3 linked regions of the Tamandua tetradactyla genome follow. The protein of the gene in region 2 binds, or shares a complex with, the protein of the main gene of each other region. Links are inferred from orthologs where the notes say so. Each region holds a gene or a part of one and is shown on either strand. Other genes may lie near its edges.

Region 1 (7,633 bases), on a different chromosome or scaffold from region 2:
GTCATCCCTATAATTTGTTTATCAATGAAAATGTATTATATATACATAAATACATACAAAACACTACCATATATGCTTTTCATTTATATATGTATATATATATAAACACACACACACACACACACACACACACACACACACACACACACACACATATATATATATGCTTACCAATATAATGTATTCACATATACCGAATGCCAGTAAAATACGATACACAGCCTTTGCCACGGGACCCCGGGTTCATTACTGGGGAGTTTACAAGGCAACTCCACTTTCAGAACCCTCCTAATCCAGGGACATCAGAATTGCCGCAATTGGAGTGCAGGGCGCCCCCCCCCCTCCTCTCTGGCCAGGGTATCCAGACTTTGCCGCTGGGTAAAGTCTGGCAGGGCCGCATGGCGGGGGTGGGGGTGGAGGTCTGCTGTGTCACAGACGGTTTTCCCCAGAGCCTCTTGACTACCCCCAACCCAAATTTAGGTTTTGCCGCAGGCCTTTCTGGTCACCCAGGGTTTTTTTCTTAAGTCCGGACTTGGCGTCCTAGTCTCCTGGGCTGCTCCCTGGGGAGCCAAGAGGCCACCGACACAAGGCGCCAACAGCCGTGGAGCCGGGAAGTACAGCATAGCGTGCGGATGTGTGTTGTGTTCCTGGCTGCGTGGAGCAGAGGAACAGAGAAATCACACAACTGTCACCTACCCACGGCCACCGAGAGCTAAGAAAAAGAGTAAGGAAAGCTGAAAAAAAAAGAAAAGAAAAGAAGAACGCGAAATAGAAAGTCAATGTGGAGGATTCCGGAGCTTGAGGACCTGGAGGCGCCGCGCTTTTGCTGGGCTCGCCGCGCCTGAGGACAGACTTGGAGTCCTTTGGGGCCGCAGTCACAGCCATGCCGTGGGTGTGAACTGACATAGGGACACGGGTTCAGGGGGCGTCATGGGTGAGAGAGCGTAAAGCTCTGTTTGCTTTAAGCATTTGCTTCCATTTCTCTGCCCTCCTCCCGCCTCTGGGAACTGACAGTCTATCCCCGCCGATATTTCCATATATGCAAGTGCCTTGCTCTCACTGTCTGGCACTGGAGGGGGCACAGGGACCCTCTCTTGGAGGCTTTTGTGGCTCAGAGCAGTCTCAAAGGCGGCAACAGGCACCAGGGCAGAGAAAGGGATGCGAGTGCAGAAATGGGACGGAAAATACATTGCCACCTCCCCGTCAGTAATTGGGGGAAATTTTCACCTCCTGAGATCTCTTGTAAGTGAACCTTCTTCTGACTCGTGGGGGGGGGGGGGGTGCACCAGTGCTCCGGGCAGAAGGCACAGGTGGATTTCTGCGCCAGACTCGAATTCCGCAAGCTACAAGTTAACTGCGATCGCCCAGATCCGCAGGTGGATGGCAGAGAAGAGTCGGGGTGCACAGGGACCTTATCTACCGCACCGGGCACCGCGGATGTGGCCCAAGGCTCACCGTGGGGTGGATGGCGAAACCCAGGCACAGTTCGAGATCTCGCGGGCTCCGGGGCTGAAACCCTGCCCCAAAGCCTGAGTGTAGACACGACCTCGTGCGCTGGGCCAAAATGGGATTGGATTCCAGAAGACTCCCCCCTCACTTGTCCTGGGACCCTTTCCCTAGTCTTATCACCCCTTCCTCTTGGCCATGATTCAAGGGACACAGCACCAAGCGTCCCTTCAGCAAACCAGAGAGGGCTCCCGAGGGGCTTCTCCAAAGGCGGAGCCGGGGAACAGCGCGCAGCCGGAGCTAGCCCGGCCTCAACCCCAAACGCACGCAAGACGCGGACAGCAAGACCCCAGGCAGGAAGGAGCGTGAGCTATGGGAGAGGGAGAAGCTCTGCTTGTCTTTTCCTTGACGGCATCTCGGGGAAGAGGGAGGGTAGAAGGGTGTCCAGTGAAGGTGGAGCAGATGGCGGGCTGGAAGAGGGAGCAATATCTGGACAGAGGCAGCTCCCAGGCAACCTTCGCCACTTTCCGCGGGACTCAGTGACCCGCGGCCCGCACGCAGTGACCCCAGCCGCGCGCACTGCCTCATTTGCCCCTTCTTTCCAGACCCGCCATCACTGCTCTAGCCCACCAAGCCCCAGGAGCCAAAGTTTCCGTTTGAGAATTTACACCTGAAAAAAAAAAACATTCCTCAATTTCCCCAATCTCTGACCCCTCCGCGTCGCGGTCAGGAGGATTGGGAGCGACCCTGCTACTGCCAGGGCTCCTGGCACGAGCGAGAAGAGAACTGGGTAGAGGGTTGCTCTTACCTGCCGCAGATTTAAAGCTCTAGTTGCCTCCACTGGCTGCGATTTCTTTGGCAAAGGCTGCCAGGGGCAGAAAGCCCACCGGGTCGGGCGCGAACGGCTCACCGCCGGGAGTCAGAAGCTAGCAGCCGGCTCGCCGTCTCCCTTGATCTTGCAAGAGAAAAAGAAAAGATTAGTTGGTGCCGCGGCACTCGGAGGGGTGGGGCAGGGGGAGGCGGGGAGGAAACCGACCCAAAGGCTCAAACGGGCAGCTGCGGGTTTCGGGCGCGCGCCAGCAAGTAGCGCTATCCACTCCGGTCTCAGCCACTGGGCGAGTCTGCAACCCGTTCGCGGTTAATGACTGGGGTTAGATTGACGCTGCCCCCGCCCTCCACACCAAACCACCGAAGGAGATGCCAACCGGACTTTCAAACCTGGCTTTCACGTAGAAGATGAGTCTGGAGAGCAAAATAGACCCGAGACCTGAAAGGACCGAAGAGCTGGGCAGGATTCATTTCTTCGCCAAAGTGCTTGGGGGAAGTAGTGATTAGTGAGGGGGGCAACACCTTCTCCGGGCGCCCCTGGCTATTTCCAGGTGGGAAGTGCGATTTCAAGGCTCTGACCAACCCGCAGGATGAGTGTGTGAGTGTGGGTGTGTGTGTGTGTGACCGCGCGCGCGCGCTCTCAGGAGCGGGTCTCCGCGCCCAAGCGCCTTTGGTATGGCAGGAGAGCCTGTCGTTGTTCGTGCTTGTGTGTCCGATTAGCTGCAATGGGGCGGACAATTTCTGGAGAGAACATTTACAATTTTCTTTCAATATGACAGGATTAGTTGCTGTTGAAGGCGCTCCTCCAATGAAATCTTCTCTGCTCTCTGATTTGGCGGTTCTTCTGAGCAAATATGACGGCCTTTTCTCCAGGCTCCTTTCTGCCCCTCTCCACGACCATCCTAGAGACCGATTCTCCATCTGCAATTTTTACTTCAGAATCTGTATAATTACCACCACCACCTAATCCCATTCCTGCAAGTTAATGCTTGCTAGAAAGGTGACGTGACTTATCGGGAAGAACTCGATGTTGCTTTTTGATTGCGGACGGTATTTGAGCCTAGTTTTTCCAGGTGGGGAAATGTTAGAATAAATCCACTATGCTTTGTAAACATATAATCGGGTTGAACTAGTCATGGATTGTTTCTTTGGGACATTGGCAAAGGTGTCAGAAGGAGAGGTAATTATGTTTTCTTCTTTTACATAGGAGTCAGTGCTCATGTTTTCTTCAATTAGTAGGTATTAGAGTACAGAGTATTTATTGTGCTTTAGGGAACTTGTGAGCTCCATGAAAAAAAAAAATCAGGATGCAAACGTTTTGTGTCTGCACCAGTCCTAGGATTTGTTATTTCTTTATTTCTTTAAGGGAAATTCCTTCTTAGAAGAGTATCCATTATTTTTAGGTATTAACCCCATTGTTTCACAAATTGCTTCTAATTAATTGGATTAAGTTCTCTAATTTTAAAGGTTCAATAATATGATTCTAAAGTATAGTTGCAGAGAAGACTTGCTTTGTGAAAGTATATGTGTATGCAAAAATGATAACGTGATATGCACTTTGTCTCATCCACCTTCTGCAATAAGTTGGAACTTTAAATTGAATAGATATATTGCCTCTTGTATCAGAGACAGAAAAGAGCAAGTAAAGGATCCACCAATTTGTATCAGACACAGAAAAGAGCAAGTTAAGGATCCACCGATTTAATTTAATATGTCCAATTCAATACCATATAATTCTCCACGCCGTCTTTTACTAGACATTGAAGGCCATACGGAATAGCAAAGCCACTGCTCCTTTCCTTTATGATTTCCAGTCTCATTGGCTAGGAAAGGCATACATATGAAACATCTATATAACAATGGACAACCAAGGTGATTGATTAAAAAGCAATATATATCCCATTCATGAATAGAAATTTTGTAGTTGAAAGTTTCTGCCCTCTCTGTGAACTCATATCTACCACAGAGTAGAACATGATGCCCACTTGGTCCTGCTTGATTGAAATCACCCTAAAAGAAAGCATTAAAATACAAGCATTGAGTTTTCGCCCTCCACACTGTCACAGCCCACCAACCCTATTGCCCTGAATGGAAGTAGGCATATGAAATACACCAGAGTCTTTTGGAAGATTATGAGATGCTCATTAGAAAATCAAGAGACAGCTCTGTCCAGTCTTGATCCTCAGCCTCTCTCAGCATTTGGTTCATTATATTAAAAATCTGATTTTATGATCTCTTCTCCCTTAGAGGATTTTTTGAAAATTAATTCATATTTTTCTTCCTTATTCTATTGTTTCTGTTCATTAAATTTGCAGAAATCCATGTAGTTGCTTGAATCTTTTTGAAAACATGCATACACACACACACACACACACACGTCAAAGAAGAAGGTGAAGGGAAATGGGCCTCTGACCAGCAATAGAGCACAAAACCCAGCATTTTGTTGCTATTTTGTTCTTTTTATGTTATTAATACCTTTTTAAAGACAAGAGCTGTAATTCCATAAAAGAACAATAAATTAGTCAATGAAAACTAACAGCAATTTTCTTAGCCTTAATGAAACAGAGTCCATAGGTAAGTGAAATAATCTGTTCACTAGAAGTCGCTATATAAAAAGCCTTTTGGAGAGGAACAACAAACAGAAGAAGCATATTTAGCAAAAAGATCAGCAATGATGTCAATTTTATTCTTCTTGGTCATCACTGAAAATATTTTTATGTACATACTTGCAGCTGTGCCACTCGCTTTGTGATTTAGGAGAAATTATTAAACTGTTTTGTGCCTCAGTCTCCCAGCATGTAAAATGGGATAGCAATAGTAATAATAATATCCCTTAAGAGGGGCTGTTATGTGGAATAGTAGAGTTAATTCATGTGAAGTTCACAGAAGAGTGCTTGGCAAGTAGGAAATTACCTCAAATTAAGACTTCTCAGCAAAGGGTTAAATATGCAGACTCCTGGGCCATGCCTGTGATCTACTGAATCCCATATTCTGGAGTCCTGCCAATATCAATGACACTGCTTGCAAACATCATGCAACAAGCATGTTAAATGAAATACATCATACCACTGACCCCAGGAAACCCCATCCTTTCCCCCTTCTAATTCCCTTTACTACATAAGAAAGTATCATGTATGTTCTGAACGTTTTATTTTTATGTCCTAAGCCAGTTCATTTTCCAAGATTAAAGTGTACTCTCCCATCCCAGCACTACAGCTTTTGCATTTATTAGTAACCTTTGGTGTGGAACATTTTCAAAAATGCTTTTTAAAGACTTTGTAGAATGCGTCTATGGATTTCCCTTTATCTACATGCTTTCTTTGCACCTCAAAGAACTGTAATAAATTAGTAATTTCCACTTGTGAAGTCAAACTTCATTACCTACAACCTCATAAGGCTGGTTTTAGGCATGTGCTGAAGAGCTCCAAATGCCTGTAAGGGATGACTTTGAATCTTTGACAAAGCTTTCTTTTGAATAAGACTGTAAATAAGGTCGCCACTAACGTGCAGTGAAAGGGATGACAGGACTCATTCCTGAGAATGCAGTGCATATTTTATTGTGCCACGTTGATTTCAGTGCAGCAATAATTACGCTTCAGCAATTAGATGCACAAATCAGCACTACTGTCATCCTGAAGTGGATTAAGAGGGTGACAAGTTCAACTTAAGTGATTTTTCACCAGGTATGGTGGTCATAACATTGTTTCCCCTATTTTCAAAGAAACCTAGAAAATGAACTTGAGGGCTTTGCCTATGAGGGGGAAATGAGCCAAGAGCAGGAGATCTTGCCCTTGCCCTTTGTCTCCTTCTCACACAAACTGTTCAAGCATTGAATCAGAGAAACAGCATTTATCAGCCTAAGGTTTGGGAAAGGAGGGCTAATTTATCTGATGTATGCCAAAGGAATTTTTTCTCTTCCTTGACCTCTCTTTGAAATATAACATTCCTGGGTCAAAGTGGACCTCTACTAAATGGCAATCACTGATCAAAATGGGCTCTTCAGTGTCCTCACTTCAGTATCCTCACTGTTTTGAAGTCCTAATAAGAGCACCACAATAGACATGCTATTCTTCTCGGAGTTATTTATTTTCCTTGCAAACCTTCCCAGAGAATAATTTTAAAGTCTTCATTCCTTAGATAAAAAAAGAGTATCTTTTTTTTTCTCTTAGAAAATCCTAAGCTCATCTTTTAGACCCTACAATAGGGGTTTTCATATACAAATGGGAATGATTCTGAGGGATGCTGTTTAGTGACAGTCTGACATAACAAACAATGCTTTTCTGTTTTTTTTCTTTACCGTTTTCTTGAAGTTTGGCATCACAGCTGTTTTAAACTATTCTTTTCCTAGCAGTGGTGGTGTTAACCGAAGCCTCAAAACATTTACTGCTGTTGAGTCTAAAATGTTTAAAATACAGAGCTCCCTTTCAAACAGGGAATATGAAGATGAGGGTGGGGGGGAGTATAAAGAAAAGACACTGCCTTGCAAAATATTAAACAGCTGCAATGTAGATAAATCAGTGTTAAGATGCCTAAGGAAAAGCTCACACAGAGTGCCTGTTTACTTAAAGAAGTAGTGTATGTGCATTCTACCTGCTATGAGGAAAGTTCACTTCAAAAGTGAACCTATAGGATGAGGTCAACTTTAAAGTTTCAGCAACAGCTACCTAAGAGTGTATTGTGACAGATAGCTTAAATTTTCCCTTCTCAAAGGCTAAGTTAGATGTTGGACTCCCTGAGGTAGAGATAAGGGCCTACCAAGTTCAAAGTGAAAGTTTTGTCAGATGTTTCTATAAACTTGGGGCCCCAGATTATTTGAATCAGTGACTCCTTGTGCTCAAAAAAGTTGTCTAGGGATACCTACAATTTATTTTTACTTTGTAGGGAGATCTATTTTACTTACAATTTAGAATGAACTAATTATGTATTCATGGGAATTCACATAATTTCTTAGATCGCACACTTACCAATATCTTAACTAAAATGATCTTTCAAGGAAGAGCTGGAAATGCTAACACATTCCAAAGCAGCATATCCTGGAAGCTACCAAGACATGGATAGATTCCTCACTAAATTTGATCTAGCTTAAAGGATTCATTTATAAAAATTCTTGGGCATTATCCTATAAATTTCTGCAGAAAGGAATGAGAAGAGGCCCCAGGAAAAATCAATATATGTGCTACATTCCTACAAGGCTTTTATTGACAAACATTCTCCTAGAAAGTGAGTTAATTTTTAAAGAATGTCCACAAGCACATAATGGTAATTGCTCAGTGTCTTCAATAGCAATCACTCAAAGTTCACCTTTAGAGTGCCACAACTGACGCAACGTGCTTTCCTTTTATTGATATCAGATGATACC
Region 2 (7,899 bases):
GTGACAGAGAAACCCAGACAGAGAAAATCAGCCTTTCTTCCAGAAGGTATCCTCTTACTGGGTGCCTTAATTTGGACATTTTTTGGCCTTAGAATTGTAACTTTTAATAAATCCTCTTTATAAAAGCCAATATATATATATATATTTCCAGCTTCTTTAGCAAACAGAAACACCTAAAGACAGATGAATTTAGTTAGCAAATACTCAAATTGATGATCTGGTGGACGGTGGGCCATGCTTAACATTTTGGGATATACGCAAAGAGAAAAGACAACTCTGTCACCTCAGATGAGTTTACAGTCCAGTGAAGTGTTTCCTACAGTACAATACTATCATTGGGGGAGAGGGAATACTATGATTGTGCAAATGAAGACTCCCAGGCTTTACCTAAGACTTACTGATTCAGAAATTCTAAGATGGGACCCAGGAATCTGCAATTAAAAAAGCATCTGCAATTAAAAAAGCATTCTTATGCATAGTAACAGTTGAGACCCATTGCTCTGGTAGGTCTGAGAAATGTGCACAAAATAATATTAGTCCGGAAAGTGCTGAATATGGGCTAGAGGGCCAGTCTTCTAAGGATACAAAAAACATTGAACAGTACCTCCTATTATTAATCCCAAATATTTATCAGAAACTAAATAAACAAATATTTATCAGAAACTTAGCTGTATCCATACATTCTTATAAACTATGTTCACTACTAAATCAGATTATGAGCTATCAGTTTTATAGTAAAACCCTTAGTGGAGCAACCTCAAATCTCTAATGATCTACTATCCTCCCTAAAATGCCTAATTCACTTAACGTTTAGTTTGGTTTCATTTAGATCATGACCCACTCATTTTAGCCTATTTTCTTCCAGTGACAATAGAGTTCATAAAGAATAATGTGGCAGTTTAAAACTGTTGTATACCCCAGAAAAGCCATGTTCTTTAATCCTCATTCAATATTGCTGTGCAGGATCTTTTGTATTGTATCCATGGAGATGTGACCCACCCAATTGTGGGTGGTACATTTTGATTAGGTGATTTCCATATTTTTTTTCCTTTGACAAAAACAAACAAACCAGTAAACAGGAAGAAAAGCTGAAGGATTAGGAAACAAGGGAGATTCCTGGACTTTAAGAAAGTAAGCCTCTAGCAGAATTCATTGGCACGTGCAGATTCTGTATAAGACCTAGCACTCTGCGTACTGAAGAATCTCCTGGGGAGTGGCTATCAATGCAGATTACAAAGAGTCTGACTTGGTAGAAGAGAGGCAGGACCTGGGTATCTGAATTTTTAACAATCATCCCAGCTGATTCTGATGAGAATGTTTTTGAGAAAGTCTTCGAGAGATTTAAGATATTATATCAGAACCTTCTTCTGAGTCTAAATCAAAATATTAAACATAGTAGATTGTCAATAAGTGCATATCTAATTGAATGAATAATTTAAACATAAGAAATACAGTAATTCAGTTCATCTAATCAGAGCCCATATGTAAGCTAGAGCTGGGAAACTGCTTATAACATGAATTACTGTTCTCCAGAATTAGGAGCCACCTGTAGTGAAAAAATAAAAATTAAAAATTAAAAAAAAAGACTTTAGTGTAAGCCTTGTTGTTCCTTTCAGAGAGTATATTAAAAATTCTAATTACTAACATTTAAAACTAAATATATGCAGAACAGTGTGTGTGTGTGTATGTGGCAAGGGAGATGGTTAATTAAGGATGTAGTAATGAGAGTTATTCTCTGACCAACAGTAATAATCAGAGAAATATAATTCTGGGAATCATATAAAATCAAACTAAATGAAATCTGCCCCTGGTCTAAGCATCCCCCATTCCTTGTGTTAGAATTTTAATTTCTCCATTCCCATAGGAATTAATTAGTGGACAAATTAAACAGCTGTAATAGTTCCTAAATACTAATAACTCACAGAGAACGGTGATGTTCTCATCCTCACTCTTTGGAGGAACCAGAATATGATTAGGTTCAGGGGTTGTAAGCTTTCTTTAAGTCTAGGAAGCTTAATTTATATTTTTATATTACATGCTATTTCTCAAATAGTGCAGAGACCTATACAACGAGCACTGGCTTACTATTTAATAACTTTGTGACCTTGAACAAGTCATTCAACCCCTCAGATGCTTCCTCGGCTGTAAAATGGGTACCCAAGCCTATTTGGATCCATGGCCCAGGTTCTTTTCACTAAGTCTTGATGCTTTCCATATCACAGCACCTATTTGAGGTTTATTTGGGAGGAACACATGAGATAATTTTTGTAAAAGTGTTCTGTAGACTGTAAAGCACTATAGGGACAAAGCAGATTATTATTAGTCTCTGATGAAGCCTAGCTACAAAAACACAAAGTGACCCAGCAAAAGAAACAGGGTAGACAAACCTGAACTATAATTTCTATAGTACCTAGACCATTACCTTGTACCTAGTTGGTAGGGGCTTAATGAGTATTGAGTAAAGAAAAACACAAAACACAAGTTTGTGCTTTCACCATATAAGGTGTGATGCCAAGAAGGAATAAATTTAACCTAAAGTCAAGGATAGTTTGACTCAATACACAAACCAGAATGCCTTATGAGCCTAAGATCTTAAATTAAGAAGTACTTGATACGAAAAAGCATTAAAATGTAAAAAGTGACCAGCAGGCTGCAATACAATAGTTATATTCTTGCCTCTTCAGTCTTTCTGATGTATCCTTGCAAGGATAGCAAAACATGGGTGAGGCTACCATATTTTTCTTTCCCTAGCTCTAATAGATCTGCATAATTGTCCAAGCAATCTATAGAGGAAGTAGCAAATTCTGCTGCATGTTGGGCTCTTTGACCTGGATTTGGAAGGCTGATTTTTTAGGGAAACCCTGATTTTAAGCAAATCAGATTTATCCCCTGTCCTCCCATCCCCATCCACACAAAAAGAGGTAGGGAAGAAGGGATAGGAAGGCAATTACTTATTTTATAAAACAGCTCTTTACAGGATTCCTTTGTCAGTTTCCTTTAGAATATGTTTAAAATGTGATTCAACTTTAAATACTTTAAATTACGTTACATGCAACTTTGGAAAAATAAAGCTATTTGTACAAGGGGGTAAACTCATATTGGGAAATAAAGAATAAAATATTTCAGGGGAGAAAGGTTTCTTCTGGGTGGGCCTTAACTACCTTTTCCCCCATTGCAAATATATTTTTAGGAAAGGTAACATTTTCAGAACAGAACTTTTTTCTTCTTCTATTGTTGAAATGAAACATGTTTGTTTTCAGAGCCACAAAAAATCCCCAACTGTTAGAAAAATGCTTCCCACAGGCGCTGGCCTCTCAGCTCCATGCATACTTTTCCGTTGGCCCCCTTCTCTAGCAGGGCCCCTGGGGCTGTCTGGTGAACTGACTGTAAAACCATTTTGTGAAAAAACAAAACAAAACAAAAATAAAAACCCATTTTGTGCAGTAAGAATTCACAGCTTCAAAATCTCAGAGACCACCCAGAATAGATCCATGACAAATTTGTGTTTCCTCAGTATTTGATTAGCTGCACAGTCAGTGACTGACCCAGATTTCTGGGTCTCTCTAGTGGAAGAGAGATGGGGGAGAGAAAAAAAAGTTTTAAAAGAAGAAAACTTCTCCTACCAAAAACCTATTCAAAGTTCATCTTATGTGTTTGTGTTTGGGTAAGGGACAGGATAAGTTAATTCTGTATAGAAAACCTCAACCATCCAAACGGTGCAGAAGTCTTTAAACTGTTCAGGGTGCAAGCACTGGCGCGAAGCTCACCATCGCATTAAAATCTGTCCCTCCCCTCTCTACACCAAAGCTTCCCGAGGGTGGGGGGGAACTGTCCCCTGCATTGGTCAACGGCCGGGAATCCTGGAACGGAGTCAATCACTGCAAAGGGAGGCAGCAACTCCTTGAGGGCAGGCCCTGGCGGTCACATCCTGTCGTCTTCCTCTCCTCAGGGCCTCGTCTCTCACATACTAGGTGCTCAATAAATGTCTGTAGAACGCAGAAGACGAGAATTCCTAACTAGCCCCAGTGCGCCGGACGGTTGAGGCGAATTATCCAGGAACGCGGGGTTTATTCAGACCCACTAACTCCTCACGTTTGACGAGGTAACCCAGCCTCGGCTGTTATGGCCCCAGCAGCGGGACACCAACCAAGAAAGCGAGTTGCTGGAGACAAGATGGAGAGGAAGCGGGAGAGGGAGAGGCCGCGTGGGGCGCGGGCTGGGGAAAGGCCAGGAGCGCGCCTCACCTTGGCGCGGGCCGCTCAGCCCAGCGCTCCCATTGACCAGGAGACCCGCGCAGTCCGCGCGCGGGGCGGGGAGGAGGGCGGGGCTCCGCAGCGCGCACGCCCAGCCCTAGGCCCCGCCCTCGCCAGCCTCCCACCCCGGGGAGTCGCGGGCCCGGAGGGCGCTGGGGGAGGAGAGGCCGCGCGGCGCGCGCGCGCGCGCCACCGCGAGCTAACGCGAGGCCCGACGCGCGCGTTTCCCACTGTCCCCTCCCTTCCCGGTCCCGGGAGCCCGGCGCGCGGCTCTGCTGACGTCAGCCGGCGGCTAGCGGTGCGGGGTGCGCAGAGCCGCTGGCGCACTCGCGCGCGGAGCTCGCCACCGCCCCCCTCCGCCCGGACTCTGGCGCGCGCTCTCGTTCCCCCTTCATTTTTTTCCCCCTCCCTCTTCACCTCTCCCTGTCTCTCTTTCTCTCTCCTCCTCGAGCCGGGGCTGGCCGCCGCTCCCTTGCGCTCTCCCTCTCTCTCCGGTGGGCTCCACCGAGCGATGCGAGCTCTGGGAGGCAGCGCCACAGCCGCTGCCGCCTGTTAGAGACCTGCCCTCGGCCCGGCCCCCTGCCTGGCCCTGCCCAGCGCGCGGGGGTCGGCGAAGGCGCCGCGGACGCACCCACGGCTGAGGACCGGCGATGCACATGCACTAGCGGCACCCCTAACTCACTCCCTCCACACCCCGCGCCATCGCCGCCGCCTCCTCCTCCTCCTCCGGCAGCAGCGGCAGAAGGACCCACCCTGCCCCCCACCCCACCCTCCACCGGCTCCCGTGGCGACTCCAGCCTCGACTATTTTATTTATTTTGGGTCGTGCACAAGCCTCAGTGCCTGCAGCCCGCGCCTTCCCGGCCCCCGGGCGCCTCCTCCTTCGGCTCCGGAGCCCCAGACCCCGGCAACCCTCGTCTCGACACCCCCAGACTCCCGCCAGCTGCCGCGAGTCTCCGCTACTGGAATTTTGTTAGCGGCTGTCTTTTGGGGGGGTCCTGGTTTCTCGACATTTTTGTTTTCAGCCAAGGGAAGGATATCGTGATTTTATCCCGTTTGAACCAGACTCTGCTCTCTGGGGGGGGGGTGGGGGGCGCGCCGAGCCGGAGAGCCGTGCCAGGCGAGTCGTGCGGGCTGTGGCAGGGAAGGGGCCACCATGGGATGTACTCTGAGCGCAGAAGAGAGAGCCGCCCTCGAGCGGAGCAAGGCGATTGAGAAAAACCTCAAAGAGGATGGCATCAGCGCCGCCAAAGACGTGAAATTACTCCTGCTGGGTAAGGCCCGCGGCTGCCACCCCCGCCCCCCACCCCCGACCCCGGCCACTCCGCACTCCACCTCCCCCACTCCACCCGCCCCCAGGGAGACCTGGTCCCGAATTGTCACCACCATGTGCCCAGGGTCGCCCACCCGCTTGCATGCCTTACCCCTCTGTTTTCCCTGGTTCCCTAAGCTGACACTCACCAGTTTTTCCCCCCCTGTCTGTGTCCCAACAGGGGCTGGAGAATCAGGAAAAAGCACGATTGTGAAGCAGATGAAGTAAGTCCTGTGGCATTGGGATTTGTACTTTTATTAAGAATTTTTTTTTTATCATATTACCTTGCTCACTGCCCGTTGCTCTCCAGGCCTGATTTTGAATTTGTACACACACTTCAATTTGACTCCCCTCCCCCACGCCCTACGTTGGTTTGGGTCCTCCACCCCAACTCCCGGGGTGGATGGTTTTTTTGGGGGGAGGGGGGAGGGGAGCGCCTCTAGTTGTATGAATGACGGTGTCCGCCATATTGATCAGACCATCACACTATTGGTATGATTATGATCATTACTCCTTCTCGTGGGGGTATTTGGTATGTCTCGCTGCCTTCATTTCTGTCTCTCTGTCTCTGTTTCGTTCTGTCTCTAAACCGCCCAACCCCCGCCCCTTTCAGCATCCATAACCCCACTTCCCCGTGCTCTTCTCCTGGGGCAGTGATTTTGAACTTGGCTAAAACATGAAGGGGACCCAGCCCTATACTGGGTTGGAGAATCCAGTGTCTGCTGTTCATGGATTTGGTGCTGAATTAGAGACTATGGTTTCTGCTTCTCTCTCTACCCCTCCCCCCCAAATAGGGCGAGGTTAGGGTTAGGGGAGGGGGCGTGTATTGGGGGAAGGAGGTGGATTTCCAGGCGGATGTGACTGGCACAGCTGTATCCAACGCTGAGGTGAAAGGGGGGCACTGGCTGTGAGACTTAAAGCCCGCCTCCTTGTTGCCCCTGGCCCCTTTCCGCCCCCATCCTCCCAGCGTTTGCTCTCCTGACACCGGTAGTTTTCGTTCACTCCATGGCCTTTATCAGTGTATTTATTTACACTCTGCATAGGCCGTGTTCCATGTAATCTACCCACAATGCGGATTTCAGTCCCCACATGCTGCCGCCCCCTTTTGCCTTAGATATCAGTTCCCCCCCCCCCAATTAACTGGGAGTGGATTTGAGTGATGGTTGAAAATTAAAACAAATGGGATATTCCTTCTCTTCCACACTTTCTCAATAAGGAACCTCGCCCCTCTTTTCCACTCTCAGGCTCGCTTCTTGCCCCCTCCGCTCGGTAGTTCATGGTGAACCCACAGGCTTTGCTTGGCTGGGGAGGGGGTGACCGGCGGGGAAGGGGTGCGCGCCCTCGGGGCCTCTGGGCCCGGCTGCTTCCGTTGACCTGTCAGTTTGAGACGGAGGAGTTCGTTAAGACTGTTTAGCGAGGATTCCACGTCGCTTTGCTATGACACCTTCGCGCACACACGACTCCTAATTAGGGGTTGCTGTGCAGTAAACAAAAATGATTATTTTTCAACTTGACAGGATAGCCGAAGTAATTGCATCCCGTAGGAAAACAATGGAAAATAAAAACCACTTTCGTGGGAAGGTGGGTGGGAAACGAAACATGCTTGCGGTTTTAGAAGAAACAAGATGCAAAAAAAATTTTGCATGTGTAACAGGCATGACAAGCGGGTTCTAGGCGGCGCCATGATGCTAGGGAGTAGCGACTCGGAGACAATTTTCCCCATCTGCTTGACATGTTCTTATTTTTGTTCGAGAGCTCCCTGGGGATTTCTTCTCAGAGGCCCCTCTGCTCTCAGCACCTCTTTGAGCCACGGATAATTTGGCCTGGGGCTTCTCTGGAGCTTGTGCAACCCGAATGGATGGGGATGCGGGTCCTGGGGAATTGCTCCTTGCAGCAAGGTGCAGGTTGCACCTGCCTGGAGCCCTTGCAGGTTGGTAAAGGCAAGCAGCGTCACCCCCTTCTCCTGAGGGGGTATGTTTCAAAACTTCAGAGGTCTGTAATCTGCAGTGGCGGGCTGAGAGCTCGCTAGAAACCCCAGCCACCGGGGTTGGGTGAGGTTTTCAGGCGTTGCGAGTGGTGGACAGCGCCCAGCCGAGGCCGGAAAAGTCGATGGGGCTCGGCTCGGCTCGGCACGGGCTGGGCGCGGGGCTCGGAGGGACTCGGCAGTGTTCGGAACCGCTTCGGAGGATCCGAAGGCATTCGGAAACGCTCGTGGGAAGATCCGGGAGGGAAGAGGGCTATGCCAGAGTCTGGAAATTAACTTTGTATTCTAAAGCAACACGTTACCTGCACTCCCTGAACATGCCCATAAATTAGGTTGATTTAATAAAACGTT
Region 3 (6,832 bases), on a different chromosome or scaffold from region 2:
AAATAACTGGGGCAATAAGACTACCTACTCCAGGCAGACTTCCAGAAAACTCTGTCTGCAAACTTGTTCACCCCCTCAGTAGGTCTTGGAGTCTAAATCCCCATTGCCTGTGTAGTCTGAGACACAGAACTAAAGATTAACCTTTAGTTCCCGAGTTGCAGTGTCAGGTGGGCATTGGCAGAAGCAAGACAGTCAGTTTTGGAGGTTCTTACCCCAGGACTCCCAAGATTCCCTCGGATACATGCTGGCCAAACGAGGCTCTGAAAGCCAGAATAAACTGAACCCTGGGAAACAAGCTGCAATCACGCGTCCTCAGTGTCAATAATGAACCACATCATTAGACTCCCAAGGAATTCAGCTATTAGAATACTTAGAACATAAAATAAGAGTCTCCAAGTATTTGAGTAAACAAGAGAGGTAATCAGAGATGAGCAAATGAGAAAGTATTAAAAAAAAATGCTGCTAGATTTAAAAACAGAACCCATGAGCCCTGCAGCTGATTCACCCCTACAGCCTGGCAGGCTGGGACCCGGGGGTCACCTTTTACCTTCTCTTTCTCCCACACTTAAGTCCACCCCATCAGCGGATCTCAGTGGCTCAGCCTCTGAAATGTCCAGAACCCAACCTCTTCTCAGCACCCCTGGCACCCCCGGCACCCCGTGCCTGGCCTGCTGTGGCCTCTGCTGGCTCCTGCCCTCGCCTCTGCTCCCCTCCTGGCCTAGGAACTGTCCAGAACGGTCATTCTAAAGCACAGGTCAGGCCCCGTGACGGCTCTGCGGGACGCCCCCCTGGCATCCGTCCACTCAGGATAAAGCCAAGGCTGGTCCTTGGCTTGAGCTCTAACCCCTCTTTCCCCACCCAATCTTTTCTGAACTCATTGCTTGTAGATCCTTTCATCCATTCCTGCCCACGTGGGCTCCTTGTTCATCACAAGTGCCACCTGTGTCCCTGCCTGCAGCACCCCACCCTGCTGCCCGCCCTGGAATGCCCACCCTCCAATTCAAAAGGCTTCGCTCCCGCCCTGCCCAGTGAGTCTATCCCTTATCTTACCTTTCTTTCTTCTTCATCGTATTTACTACATGGCATATTATCATTTTATTATTCTTTTCATACCTTCTCGCCATAAAAATAGAAGCTCCATGAAATAAGGGACTTCGCTTTATTTGTTGCTCTATCTCCAGAGCCTAAAATTGTTTCTAACACATGGTAGATATTCAAGTGAACCAGCAAAAGAATAAAAATAGACTATATAACCCACTTCAGAGAAGGGGTTATTAAAAAAACCACTTAAAAACACAATCCAAAGGTTGTTACGAAAGGGGGATGGGCAGGGAAGAAGACGGAAATAGAAAACAGAGAACACAAACCAAAACATTAGAGACAAATCCATGTATGTCAGTAATCATGATAAATGAAAACGGCCTAGGATCACCAATTAAAAACACAGACTGTCAAATTGTATTTCAAAATGCTTATTGCTATTTTCAAGGACTATCCCTAAATCATAGGATACAGGGAGACAGAAAAAGATACAGCAGATAAATAGAAAGAATGTCAGAGTATCTATAGTAATTCAGGCAAATTTCCCTTTAAGGCAAAACAAAACATAACACCCAAGCATGTATTATAGCGCCAGCAATATAACATTAAAATAGTGCAATGCAACGTTGCGCGTCACTTAAGGGTGTCTGCGTGTGCCACGAAAGAGTAAACAAATGGCTGACAGCAGCAACCTTGGAGAAGGTGGGGCAGGCGCGGTGATGGGGACGTATATAAAGGTTACTTCAACTCTCTTGGTACTTTATTTTAAGCCAGGTGTTGAGTAAATGGGTATTAGGTATAATTTCATCATATTTTTTGCAGGTCAAAAATAGCTCATAATAAATTTTAAAAGAGACTCTCCCTCAGCCACATGATAAAGAACTCTCAGCGCAGGAGAGCTGCTCACTAGAAAAGGCCACCATGAAAGCCCAAGTGAGAGAGCACCTGGGGTAGAAAAGGCCACCGCTGGGCCAGGTAACTTGAAGTTCCAAGGCATCCTGCTAGGGACGGCAGGCGTAGCGGGACACTTGGACCAGCAAGTTCCTTAAACTCAACTTCACCTTCCAGAAAGTATGAATGAAATACGTATGTCTCTGGCAATGAATGTGTGTGTAAATGAAATGACAGCAAAACACCTGGGACACAGGAAGTGTTCCAACATGGCATGAAAATGTTCCTGGAATGTGGCAGAGCACAGTTAGATGGAAAGTGAAGTGAGGCACTGCTTGCCTCCCAGACTCCCCAAGGCAAGGCGTGCTGCTGCATCATCTTTTCCACACTTTTATTACAGTCCAGGCCCCGCTGTGTATCTCATTCCCCGTCTCCTACCAGACAGAGAACAACTCCAGGAAACATTGCATCCTATTCATCTTTGCATTACCCTTTTCCTTAAGCAGAGGGTCTGGCATGTAATGGGTACTCATTAACCATTTGGGGACTGCCAGAAACGCACTGGGGTTTATGAAAGTCACTATAGACAAATCGCATAAACTCTGCAAATAAATGAATCCATTTCAGGTCTCTAGTTGGGAACTCCTGAGATTTACAATCAAGGCTGATGTTTACTAACACTGCTCAAACGGCTCATTTCTTGTGGGCATATTCACATTTTATAGCAGTTGTGAGATAGTAAACACGTTTTCTCACTTGACAAATATTGCATATGTTGGAACTTCTGTTTGTCGCTCAGATGAATAACATAAGGCAAAAATGATTTAAAGTTGAGTGATGCGAACAGCTCCTTCCTCTTTAATCTTCTCATACACGTTTAAAAAGACAACTCAGACCTCCTGACCGTTTTTCTTCCGTGCCTATTTCCTCCCTGGCTGTGAGCTGCACAGTGTTGGAGACTAGGCAGCGATTTTTGCAAAATTCCAGCCGGCAGTGCCAGGGGCATTTCCTTTTGGCACACGAACCCGACCAACCCCGGGGCAGGAGGCACTCCCACTGCGGGCCACCCCCGAGCGAGCAGTGTGAACAAAACCCTCGGATCGGGAAGGTCTGCGGAGCGCGCCCGGGCCCACTGGGGCCGGTAACTGAAGCAGGAAGAGACCCAGGCACGGGCTCGCCTAGCGGAGGAACGCGCGGCCCTTCCCGGGCAGGAGGTGGGCGGCGACCCACCCCATTAGAATTCGTCCAGTCTCCGCTCGCGCGCTGTGACTTCCCGGGGACGTGGGAGGCACCCAGGGCGCACGGACTGAAATGGGCTGAGTTATCACTACCTCTCCCAGTGGCAGCAGAGAGCACCCGACCGCCAGCCGCCGGGAAGCCGCAGAAAGAGCGCGCTAGCCCCGCGACTACTTCCCATCTCTGCAAGAACCGAGAGGGGAGAGGAGCAGCTGACCGCCGGGAGGTGGCAGCGCCCGGGCGCTGACAGCACCGAGCTCCCTGCGCCCTGCCGCCGGGTGCCCAGCTGACCGCCCGCGAGGCGCCCGCGCCCGGCCAGCCCAGAGGCTGGAAGCAACAGGTGCAACCCGAAGTCACTCTCGGAGCGAGGGACCACCGGCAGCCAGGTTCTGGGGGCGGCAAGGCCACCCGGGGTCTCTCTTCTCCGCGACTGAGTGCCGAGTCCCTCCGCGTCCGCCGCTCGGTGGCCGCGCAGCAGGCGAAGGCGCGGAGGCAGAGGTCGCCTGGCGCTCCCCCAGCGCCGCCCGCGCCCCGCGAGGTCCGCCTCCCGCGCCCGCCCCACCGCAGAGACCGTGCCATCCGGCACGGTCGCCCCGGGCCCTTCCCGCCGCTCGGCTCATCGGGAGGCTCTGCGGGGCGCACCCGCGGGGCCATGGAGCTGGCGGCGGGGAACCTGAGCGAGGGAAACGCGTCGGGGGCCGAGCCTGGCGGCGCCGAGCGGAGGCCGCTGTTCGGCATAGGCGCAGAGAACTTCGTCACGCTCGTGGTGTTCGGCCTCATCTTCGCGCTGGGCGTGCTGGGCAACAGCCTGGTGATCACCGTCCTGGCGCGCAGCAAGCCGGGCAAGCCGCGCAGCACCACCAACCTGTTCATCCTCAACCTGAGCATCGCCGACCTGGCCTACCTGCTCTTCTGCATTCCCTTCCAGGCCACGGTGTACGCCCTGCCCACCTGGGTGCTGGGCGCCTTCATCTGCAAGTTCACCCACTACTTCTTCACCGTGTCCATGCTGGTCAGCATCTTCACCCTGGCCGCGATGTCGGTGGACCGCTACGTGGCCATCGTGCACTCGCGGCGCTCCTCCTCGCTGCGGGTGTCCCGCAACGCGCTGCTGGGCGTGGGCCTCATTTGGGCGCTGTCCATCGCCATGGCCTCGCCGGTCGCCTACCACCAGCGCCTCTTCCACCGCGACATCAGCAACCAGACCTTCTGCTGGGAGCTGTGGCCCAACGAGCGCCACAAGAAGGCCTACGTGGTGTGCACCTTCGTGTTCGGCTACCTGCTGCCGCTGCTGCTCATCTGCTTCTGCTACGCCAAGGTGGGGGGCGCGGGGCGCGGGGCGCGGGGAGGGAGGGAGGGAGGAGGGAGCCTGTGCGGTGGCTGTGTGGCCCGGCCTGGGCTGGCTTGCAGGAGAACTTTTTCCACTCCAGCTTGCCCTTGCTTCTTCTTGGGCTTGCCCGTCTGCGGTTGTCCAGGAAGGGTGCTTGGAGTTTGAGAAATTCTGGCGAAAGTTTACAGTCCACTTCCCAGATGTGCAGGAGAGCAGCTTTCCCTGCCTCGCTCCCCGGAGGAGCGCAGCGCAGCCCTGACGCCCCGAGGTGGCCCGGGGCGGCCGGCGCGCACCCACCGCGGGTTCCTGGGCTGGGTGAAAACCCTGCTCTGCTTTAGCGACTCTTCGCGCACGTCTGCCTGCGCGATGGAAGGAGGGCGCGGGGCTGGGGGAGCCCTAGGGAGCGCTCTGTGGGTCCTGGCCGCGGCCTCCGGCTGGGCGGGAGGGACCCCGCTGCGCGCGCTCCCCGGGCTGCGCCAGGGCGCCTTGTGAACGCAGGAGGCTAAGTCTAAAAGCCCGAGGGGTAAAACAATATTTCTTCACAGTCTTCATTGGAGTCTCCAGTGAACTCTGGGTGGAAAGAAGCTGGAGCTGTTGTGTTTCTCTATTTGCGTCCCTTTTAGGAAGGTTGTGGGGACAGTGTTCAGTGATTGGGGCCACAATAGGCGAACTCGGGGAAGGCACCCCCGACGGGGTGTGATTTCAGCTGAGGTTTCTTCCTTACTGCAAGGCGGTTCTCATCCTCCCGCGATGCTCTTTCACTAGTAGCACACGGTTTTGAAGATTTTATCCTGATCAAAAAGTGAAACCTTTTGACACAGCTGGCCACACTGGAGTTAACACACTACATATTTAATGGCCTGGGACGTGATTTTTGGAGTGAACTCTGACCCCCAACATACTCTCTCCTGCCTTTTCATCACCATCAGACAAACTCCTTCTTAACCAAATTCAGAAATTCCTGTCGGCTTTCCTTCAGCCCCCTCTCTCTGCCCCTGCTCTCCTTCTGAAAAGGTTTTTGCCTTTCGGGCAGTGGATAATTGGAAGATGTGAGAAGCAACAATATCTTCTATTCATAAAGTAGTTTTTTTCCTGACAAGTGCTTAAGCCATCTGAGTTTTCTATATCATGTATGTATAGTGTCTCTTTTTGAATGGTAATACTTTTGGAAATGATCTGAAACAATTCAAAGGGTTAGATCGAAAGAATTAGAGGATTTAGAAAATAACTCTAGGTTAGTTATTTGGAAGATGACACACCTAGTTACCTGCAAATACCAAAGAAAGGTTAGCTTCACCCAGGGCAGTCACCGTCCCCCTGCCACACAACGTGATCTCATTTAATCTGCACACCAGCCTTAGGGGTGGGCGGTGGCCCCTATTTTAAGGACAAGGAAACTGAGTTCAGAGGAATGAAGTAACTGTTTCAAGATTATGCCACAACTGAATGGGTCAGGGAAGACTTTTTAATGCCATTGAGTTATATTCACACACCACGTAATCCAGCCAAAGTGTACAATCAGTGGCTCACAGTGTCATCACATAGTTGTGCATTCATCACCACAATCAATTTTAGAACATTTTCATTATTCCAAAAAATAAAAAATATATAAAATATAAAAGAAAACTTTTATATCCTATACCCTTTATCCCCCCCTCCCATTGTTGAGCCCTAGTATCGGTACACGACATGTGTTACTGTTGATGAAAGAATATAAAGATATCGCTGTTAAGGATAGTCCACAGTTCACAATAGGTACGTTTTTCCCTTACACCACTCCACTATCAACTCCCTGTGAGAGTGTTGTGTGTCCGTTCCGGTTCATGAAAGAAGTTTTTTATATTTGTACAGTTAATCACGGTCATTGTCAGCACAAGAGTCACTGTGTTACCTGTTCCTATGTCTTATCCTCTCCTTCTCCTTCTCGTGCCATCTGTGACTCTATACCACTCCTTTCAGCCCCATTCAGGAGAGACTCTAACCCAGGGATTCTGAGTCCCCTGCAGGAGGGCCCCTTGGGGAGGGCCCTGAGTGTGTGAGAAGAGTCCAGGTGTTCCATGCTGTCAGTTTGGGACCAGATGGTTCTTTAACAAGTTTGGCTTTTGAATTCATAATCACCTGGATGAGAACCGAAGCGTCCTCTTCCTGTTTAGCCCAAAATGTCTTTAAGGATGACAACTTCAAGTCTCCTCAATGGGGCTGACGAGGGAAACTTGAAGGAGTAAATGGGCTACATTTCCATCATTTGGGAGTTTACAAATGTTGCACATGGGAAAAAGTTTAAAACTGGTTCTCAAAATTTAGTCAGTCCCTATTCACTGTAATAGCTGTTTA

The links. Proteins that work in one complex are often made in the same cells at the same time.
Region 1: the proteins of GNAO1 (region 2) and CHRM2 are in contact, whole or in part, in a cryo-EM structure (PDB 7T8X), measured with the Homo sapiens proteins. The link is inferred for Tamandua tetradactyla from reciprocal best matches to the Homo sapiens genes GNAO1 and CHRM2. Residues at the interface, in NP_066268.1 of Homo sapiens: Lys24, Ile28, Ala31, Lys32, Leu195, Tyr320, Asp337, Ala338, Thr340, Asp341, Ile343, Ala345, Asn347, Leu348, Gly350, Cys351, Gly352, Leu353, Tyr354; in NP_000730.1 of Homo sapiens: Asn58, Arg121, Cys124, Val125, Pro128, Leu129, Thr130, Pro132, Val133, Lys134, Thr136, Ile209, Ser213, Lys214, Ser215, Arg216, Ile217, Arg381, Lys384, Val385, Thr388, Ile389, Cys443.
Region 3: the proteins of GNAO1 (region 2) and GALR1 are in contact, whole or in part, in a cryo-EM structure (PDB 7XJJ), measured with the Homo sapiens proteins. The link is inferred for Tamandua tetradactyla from reciprocal best matches to the Homo sapiens genes GNAO1 and GALR1. Residues at the interface, in NP_066268.1 of Homo sapiens: Ser264, Asn316, Glu318, Tyr320, Asp337, Asp341, Ile343, Ile344, Ala345, Asn347, Leu348, Arg349, Gly350, Cys351, Gly352, Leu353, Tyr354; in NP_001471.2 of Homo sapiens: Thr70, Arg133, Ala136, Ile137, Ser140, Arg141, His226, Leu227, Leu231, Asn233, Ser235, Lys236, Lys237, Ser238, Ala240, Ser241, Lys244, Thr245, Thr248, Leu306, Ser307, Glu308, Asn309.

What each region holds. Positions count from the first base shown.
Region 1 is NC_135327.1:179,711,391-179,719,023, reverse strand, and holds the start of CHRM2 (muscarinic acetylcholine receptor M2), read right to left. Parts: upstream 3,013-7,633; 5' UTR 2,665-3,012; intron 2,551-2,664; exon of another isoform or gene 2,483-2,550; intron 2,402-2,482; 5' UTR 2,255-2,401; intron 2,249-2,254; exon of another isoform or gene 172-2,248; intron 1-171. UniProt on the Homo sapiens protein: The muscarinic acetylcholine receptor mediates various cellular responses, including inhibition of adenylate cyclase, breakdown of phosphoinositides and modulation of potassium channels through the action of G proteins.
Region 2 is NC_135342.1:49,862,952-49,870,850, forward strand, and holds the start of GNAO1 (guanine nucleotide-binding protein G(o) subunit alpha), read left to right. Parts: upstream 1-4,893; 5' UTR 4,894-5,408; coding exon 5,409-5,526; intron 5,527-5,608; exon of another isoform or gene 5,609-5,745; coding exon 5,746-5,788; intron 5,789-5,929; exon of another isoform or gene 5,930-6,015; coding exon of another isoform or gene 6,016-6,056; intron 6,057-7,899. UniProt on the Homo sapiens protein: Guanine nucleotide-binding proteins (G proteins) function as transducers downstream of G protein-coupled receptors (GPCRs) in numerous signaling cascades.
Region 3 is NC_135344.1:5,348,229-5,355,060, reverse strand, and holds the start of GALR1 (galanin receptor type 1), read left to right. Parts: upstream 1-3,820; coding exon 3,821-4,486; intron 4,487-6,832. UniProt on the Homo sapiens protein: Receptor for the hormone galanin. The activity of this receptor is mediated by G proteins that inhibit adenylate cyclase activity.